2 linked regions of the Saccharomyces cerevisiae S288C genome follow. The protein of the gene in region 2 interacts with the protein of the main gene of each other region in a pairwise test. Each region holds a gene or a part of one and is shown on either strand. Other genes may lie near its edges.

Evidence for each region.
Region 1: the proteins of ATF2 (region 2) and YIP3 interact in a two-hybrid assay, tested with the Saccharomyces cerevisiae proteins (one large-scale study listed by BioGRID).

The regions. Positions count from the first base shown.
Region 1 is NC_001146.8:543,015-546,377, reverse strand, and holds YIP3 (Yip3p), read right to left. Parts: upstream 1,111-3,363; coding exon 1,087-1,110; intron 1,008-1,086; coding exon 501-1,007; downstream 1-500. Other genes in the region: LAP2 (bifunctional aminopeptidase/epoxide hydrolase), read right to left, coding at 1,400-3,363.
Region 2 is NC_001139.9:847,477-852,241, forward strand, and holds ATF2 (alcohol O-acetyltransferase), read right to left. Parts: upstream 2,961-4,765; coding exon 1,353-2,960; downstream 1-1,352. Other genes in the region: ERG1 (squalene monooxygenase), read right to left, coding at 1-947; PBP1 (Pbp1p), read right to left, coding at 3,571-4,765. UniProt on the Saccharomyces cerevisiae protein: Can use acetyl-CoA to synthesize acetate esters from various alcohols, producing ethyl acetate, isoamyl acetate, isobutyl acetate, butyl acetate, hexyl acetate, heptyl acetate and octyl acetate.

The sequences.
Region 1 (3,363 bases), on a different chromosome or scaffold from region 2:
TCAAACTCTACCTCATCTACGTTGACCCTTTTTACCTTCTAGATGCCATCAGTTGTTAATAGTAGTAATGGAATACGATTTGCCAATCAATCTTACAATCGCATATAATTCGTCACTGTTGAATATCTGCGACGTACACCATCTAATCACTTCGCTTAGTCGATATAACCATTTGTTTGAAAAGATGAATTGATTCTAATCTTGCCTCTCTCGGGTTATGTTATTATTATTTTTACGTTTTGGCACGTGAATCTTCAGTAATTGATTGCACGCTTGATAAACGAAAAAAACATAAACAAATAAGGTAAGACTGCATTGTAAATCCTAGGAATGAGAAAGAACAGAGAAGCTAACTGCAATTATGAATGGTGTCTGTATACAATTAAATACTAATGTTGACGGAGAAAGAGAATAAAAGACAAGAATTAACTAAATATTGAAGAAGAGTAAAATACACAATAGAAAAGAATGACTCCTTTTCCCAACACTTGTAGGAGTGTTCAAACAGTTTCTTCATCAAATACAGTTTCGATGGGTTTTTCCATCAATGATGCATGTCCGAAAACGCTGACGGCAGAAGCACCGATCAACCATAGCAAAGTTGAGATTGGCGAAGCTAAGAAACCTATTGGCACAGCAACACAAACCAGTCCGGTGTATAGTTGGTTGGTCTTGAAAGAACCAAATGGAGTTACGAGCTCCTCACCCTTTAGTTTGTTTATACCAACAATACCAGCTACGACTAGAACAATAACAAAGAGTAGCAACAAGTTTGTTAATAATGTGTAAATGCTCAAACAACCAATAATCAAACCATAGTTACTGGAAAAGTACTTCAGGTTATACGCCACTCTGGATTGAACTTCCCCAAAGTTTTGAGGTTTGGAAATTTTCTTGAAATTGAAAAATTCTTGCGGGGTGCGAAGGGTTGCTAATTTAGATTGCAAGGATTGGAACTCGCTCTTAATATTTTCCATGGAGAAGTTTTGAGTGAAACGTGAAACTTGCTATAGAAATATAGAAAAAAGGTTAACGCGTTAGTATAGTTTTTCAATGATGCAAATGTGTTTACAATTTAGAACTTACGGCTAAAGCTCCTAACTGATTCATTATTGGAGTATTTGATGTTATTTTATGCGTATTTGACGGCTGATAGTTCCAAACTCAGTGTTCAAAGCCCTGCAATATTGAATTCAATCTGAATTCTTTCGATTTGTATTTATATTCGTTGTTATTATTTATTTTTTCTTTTTGCCTCGATTGCATGTGACAAAAGTGCAAAATTCGTATCGCACGACACAGAACTCCGCCACTAATTAGAACCAGAGAAGTAGCAATGAAGGCTCATTAGTAGGTTATATTTAATTGTTTACGTATTCATGTTACGACACGTCCCTTTTCAAAGACCTAAATCTTGTTTCACAAGAGCTTTACAGATTGGATGATACGTGTCCTTGAATTTGTCGAAAGTTGCAAGTGCCAATCGACGGTCTACAGAGTTTAATAGTCTGTAACCGGGACGGACAAACTTCATTCTACCTACAGTTCCCAACCAATCGGCCAAATGCTTATATTCTTCTTGCAGCTTGGCAAAGATCTGAAATTTGAACATCTTGAAAACAACTTCCGCGTTCTGTGATTTAACAATGTTATCTTGATAGATATCTAACAGTGCCCTAGATGCCACGGGAAACTTGGCCCAGTCAAAATCTTTTGGTTTCTTGTTGGAATGGCCATTTTGTGTCAAAGTTTCCAAGAACAAAACCAATTGATTTGAATTAAAATCCTTAATGTCAATAGCGTTAAATTCAGACCGGAAATCCTCTGTGGTTTTCAAATGTTGAGCCATTTCGACCCACTTGTCAGCCAATTGATAAACATTATCAGCCAAAGCCGTAATAAAATGAGGCCTTGGTGGCATACCTGGTTTATACAGCCAAGTTTCCCAGTCAACGGAATCCAAAATTTCTTTCTTTTCGGGATAGAACTCATACAAAGTATCCAAAAACTGGAAAGTATCCAATGATTTTTTGGCAAACTTCTTGAAATAGTGTCTAATAAATGGATCAAATTCAGCCTTACCACCCAAAATAGTTTCCAAGTGAAATAGTAAGTTGAACCCCTTTTCGTACGGAACAGTGGAAAAGGCATCGTCAGGGTCAGTGTTATCGTTCAAGTTTTGTACCAAAGTGGAAAATCTTTCAGGATCTTTCATAGAATCAATAGAATTCTGCAAATCGCTCCAACCAATCAGAGCACTGAAATGTCTAGTTGGTTCGCCATGAATGGCACCAATAATTCTTCTTTCTAAGTAAACGGTCCAACCTTCATTCAACCAAAAATGATTCCACGAACAATTGGTCACTAAGTTACCAGACCATGAGTGAGCAAGTTCATGGGCGATGACATCAATGTTGGATCTGTCATGTGCAATCAAGGTGGGCGTAGCAAAAGTCATATTCGGAGACTCCATACCGCCGTAAGGGTACGAATCGACGTTAACTAAGATATCATAAGTGCCCCACTCGTATTCAAAGATAATTTTCTCTGCAGTTTGAATGAATTTCTCTACATCGTTTTCAAATTCCCATTGACAATCTTTCAAACGAAATGGTTCAGTGTAAACTGTGGAACGAGGTCCAATTGGAGCGCTTGACAAATCACCGGAAGCAATACCGATCAGGTAGGCTGGGATAGGGACTTTCTGTTCAAATCTGTAAATATTAGTATCCTTGCTTGTATCTTCAATCCTGATGCCTGAAAAAACCACTGGTAGTGGGGACTCGATAGATGCAGTGAAAGTAGACTTCACAGAGGGAGTATCAAAGCAGGGGAACAAAGACCTCGCATGAATAGCTTCCAACTGTGAAAACACGTACGGTTTACCGCCCTTGGTTTGCTTGCTGTTCAACCATTGCAAAGCGGTGCACTTGTCAGTCGTACGAAATTGAATATTCAAGGTAAAGTTATCGTTGCAAGAAGCGTTATTGATGACTAACCTGGAGCCCAATGGCTCCTTTCTTTGCTCAATTTGAAAATCTGCCTTGGAACCATCAATATGAACCTCCTGGACATCCAAATAGGATGTATCCAGATGTAATTCATCCGATTTATTTTTACCTTCGTGCAGTTTTTTCAATTGGAATGTAACGCTCCCTGAAATGGCTGACTTTTCGAAGGAAACAGACAGGTTTAAATCGGTGTGAAGAACTGCGAAGTCCTTATAATTTGATAAAGTAGACTGATCGTATTCGGGGGAGCGGGAAGGTCTTCTCTGCTCAATTGAAAGAGGCAACATTTTATGAGGGGTGGAAATGTGTATGTTTCTTGAGATTACAGTAAGTAAACCTCGAAATCGAAGCG
Region 2 (4,765 bases):
GGCATAGCTCTAAATTTACCTTGGCTGACGGCTTCATCAAATGAAGGACGTAGACTCTTTGGAATGAAAGGTTGGACATCCTTAATCATCCAACTCTTGATATCAGCTGGGACCTTTGGAGAGTTGTAAGCACAAAGGATTCTTGTTTCTTCTGGACTGATTTGGTAAACCAAGATTGGCATATGATCACTACCAAGAATAACGTGACCGTGCATAGGAGCAGGATTCTTAGCATTGAACAAAGACATACCGACAAACGAAGAACCGACAGTTGGAACATGGTCTGGGTGCAATTCCTTTCTGAAACGTGAAAAGATACCGTCACAGATAAATGTCAAGTGGGCTTTGAATTCCACCTTGCCACGGCCATCAATGTCAACCTTGGCACCAACAACCTCATTCTTTTCATCCTTCAATATCTCAATACAGTTACCTTGCACTCTAGTAACATTTGGCTCTTGAGCAGTAATGTTTCTCAAGTTGTTCAAGAATCTACCATGAACAAAAGCAACACCCCTTTCTCTTTCATCATCTTCGTAATCCTTGATGTGAATAGTGCTGTCTTCCAAGACCTTGTCATTACCATCTTTGACCAAGTCCTTCAATTTTTCAACTTTAGGGATATCGGCCTTGTAAGGGTATGGAATATCAACTTGTTCGCCGTTGAAAAAGACGGTATAACCGGTAACAGGATATGCTTCGATGTTGTTGATAGATTGAATCATACCCAGACTTCTCAATGCTCTAACACCACCTGGTTGCATCAATTCACCAACAATTCTATCAGGCATAGCCCAGTCACGTTCTACGATAAGAACTTTCTTACCCTTTCTTGCTAGACCAGTAGCAACACATGGACCGATAACACCAGCACCGATGACAATCGCATCGTAGGTAATTGTGTTGTCGGCATTAATCAATTCAGGTGCAACGTTAACAGCAGACATGACCCTTTTCTCGATATGTTTTTCTGTGATTTTTTTTTTTCAATTGTTCGAAATAACCTGTATTGTTCAATACTGGACAATTGTTCTGATATATATATATATATATAATTTTCAATGAAAAAAAAAAAAAAAAGAAAGAAAATTAGAAGCTAGAAAGAAATAAGGAAAAGGAAAAGCAAACAACAATAGGAAAAAAAAGCATAGAAACATATAATAGATTAAATACAAAAGATTTATTATACATGCGAGGTAAGACTATTGTCTAAGACTTATACCCGACCGAGAGCAGCCACGGCATGCATCGACTACGAGCGTATTGTGTTATATCAGCTCTGTCCGATACACTGCTTGCCTTTTGTACGAGCTCGGCCGAGCTATACGAAGGCCCGCTACGGCAGTATCGCATTAAAGCGACGCAAATTCGCCGATGGTTTGGTAGAAGAGCTTGCAGAACGATTCCCATTCGCCACGATCCCGTAGAGTGCCCTGAACCACGCTCATGTCCATGTTCATACCATTCACGTTTGTGGAGCAAACGTTTAGGCCGAACGCAAATCTCAAGGCGCCTGCAGACTGCGAGAAGATTAAATCCCGAACGTAGTACGGCTTGGTCGTATCTTGCGAGACAAGTCCTGTATTACTGATGATTGCACCGCCTCTTTGCTGGTGCAAATAAGAGTTGGCAAGAAGGCTGTCTATATTCTTGTTTTCAACGATAAAATCAAGTTGTAGGACCCCCAGACCAATCAAGTGGTCACCGTTGTCGTACGATTCTAAAAAGCGGTCATAGTAGTATTCGACAAGACTCCAAAACTTGTCATTGTCACCTTCGGGAATGTCGAATGAGGAGATTAGATAGGCGTAATGCGAACCTCCAACGTTGGAGCCGTATTTATAAGAATCTCTTAACTCTTCATCGTTTGGTAAAAACCTTCTTGCGTTGCTTGGAATAGCCACATCGAACCCATACTCGAGAAGAGATTTTGTGAACAGCTTATCCAGTCTATACAGGGCTACAAGAAAGCACGCTTGAATGAAGGGTGTTAGGGTGCACCCATCGTGAACATTTTTCTTGATCTGAGCTCTGATTTGTTCTACTTGCTTAGTACTGAAATGCAACAAGTAATTGTAACTAGCATTAGCATTACTAGAGGGGCTATATCTAGCTGTAAGTGTAGATTCGCTGGAGGTTTTAAAATTACAATGTTCATAAATGAAGGTTGTTAAAAAGAATTTGGGTAATGAAGTCAATGCTGGCTTGTAGTCAATACGATCCGTAATCGGTTTTGGCAATTTAGAAATTTCAGTGTAGTCTCGATCATAGTCAATGATGACTTGATCTTCGATGAACTCTTCATCATAATCAAACCCTTTTTCTTCGATTTTACAAAAGAGTAGAGCTAAATCTTTGAAAAAATTCGATCCACTGACACCGTCGGAGCCGCAGTGGTTAGTGACATAAACGAAGTTTTTCCACGTTTCAAACCCATCAGTATCCTTACCTGGTAAACAAATCAATCTCCAATTAGGCCTCTTCGGATTACCCAGAGGTATGATTACAGGGCTAATCAATTCGATTAACCTATTGGTGACTTTGAAATCATCCTTTTTGAACTGTTCTGAGATTTTCTCCATGACTTCTCTGTATTCTGGTTGATTATTCATAATCAAGTCATCGAATTCAAGATGAGAAATCACCTTTATGAAATCATGCTGTGGAAAAGGTTTACTAAGGTACTCTTCGCTAGAGTAGTACGCTTCATGATGAGGATAATGCTTAGGAATGATTGTATGCGCAAGAGTTGAGTATTTTTGAAGTAATACTTTCAAGACAAGCATTAGTTGTCTCTTATTAACACCTTTATTCAATTCCGCGTAAACAGTAAAATTCGAGTACATTTTCTGCCTACTCAAAACAGCAAAGTAGTTTTCCAAGTGGCCCATACGTCTTGCATGGCCACGGTCTATCAACTCTTGAGTGATATGTGGTTCGTATCCTTCTATATCTTCCATAATTAACCTGGACAATTTTTATTGCTGAAGTTATTATTCGTTTGAAAGTCTCAGTACTGTTTGTACGCATTAGGAATGACATTGCTGTTACTGCAGAATTGCCCTACACATTTGTTGTTGTCTTTTAAGTAACAATTTGCTCTATTTTCACAGACCTCGAAGAAACGTAAATCTTGACAACAAATGTTTACGATCGTTTAGGTGTATGAAAAAATATAGAATACCAAAATAGGAAACTCGTTGAATTCGTTTACTCATTATCCCGCAATATTTATCGGTGGCCTACAGAGTTCAATGTAGCCTGAGATTGTGGCGATTGAAATACTGATTACTTAAAATTTGCTAAAGCCTGTTCTATCTGAAGAAAAAAAAAAAAAATGGATGAGCCTTCCAGTTCATTGAAATTCTTCAGTTCTTATTTTTTTTTCAAAAAGAAAAGTTTCAGTACCCTGTTCCAAAAAAAATGAAAAAAATGAAAATCCAGTATCCTTCCCATAAAAATTAAAAGTTCCATTATTTATGGGTAAGTAAGTACCACTGATTATATACCATATTTATAAAGTGCATGAATTTATTACTATATATTGCTTTTTCTGACGTGCTTCCTTCACTATTTATGGCCACTGGTACTACTATTATGGTGGCCATGGTGGCTAGTTTGATGGTAATTTCTACTATGGCCATGACTGTGCATTGCCGACCCGTTCGCTGGCATGCCAGATGGACCTGATCCCATCATTCCTTGGAAGGGTATCCCTCCTGGATACCCGAAGGCACCCATAGGAGCGCCAGGGCCAGCTGCCATAAAACCTGCAGGGACATGGGGCGAAATATTTCCTCCTCCTTCTTCAGCCCCATTGCTACCCATAACTGGCATCATTTGAGGCATAGATGGGTGATAAAACATTGGCTGAGGTTGAAATGGCATGTACATACCCATTGACCCAGCAGCAAAGCCATTCATCATCGGATTTGGTGATGCCGATGGACCTCCCATCGGAAAGCCCATCATCCCGCCCATATTCATGCCCATAGCTGGATTCATACCAGGCACAGCATTGCCCATGGAGTTCAATTGGCGTTGTTGGAACCTAGTTTGAGCTTCTTGAATCGCCGTATCCTCATCTGGGAAAAATGTCTTATACGATTCTTCAATTGTATTTAACCAGGTTGGCGCAGTAAAATAAGGTTTTTCAATAAAGAAGGGTTCCATATTCTCCGAGGCATCATCGCCTTTCTTCTTTTCATCGTGGGCCTCCTTGGATTTGATGAACATATTAAAACTTTTTCCGAACAACACTCTCTTGGCGTCATTAGTATGAGGGTTCTTGGCACCAAAAAAGGAACCATGATTACGTCTTCTCAATGAAGTACTAGATCTCGTGGTATGGCCGGTAGATGATTGGCCTTGAGATATGTTGCTGCCACTTCTTCTAGATTCTGATTTCCCTGCAGAAATCTGTGTAGTAGGAGAAACAGTCTTGGCCGAAGGGGTTTTGCTGATCGGTTTTGGAGGCAACGAAGAATTAGATTTTAATGTAGAGCTTGACCTTTTTAAGACTTCTAGCATGTCTTTTGGAATATCATATGGAACTTTAAATTTCTCGGAAAATTTCTTCAACTCTTCAATCTGGGCTTCTTTGCTACTCAAACTTTTCTTATTCTTAGAAGTCTTTTGTGGGGGTTTTCCCTCTGGCGCACCTGCTGCTGCGGGAGTAGAGGTATCCGTGGAAACGGCATTTTCATTTTTGTTAGAATTACTCGAAGAGATAATTGCTGGATCCATATGATGAGGTTGCTGTCTT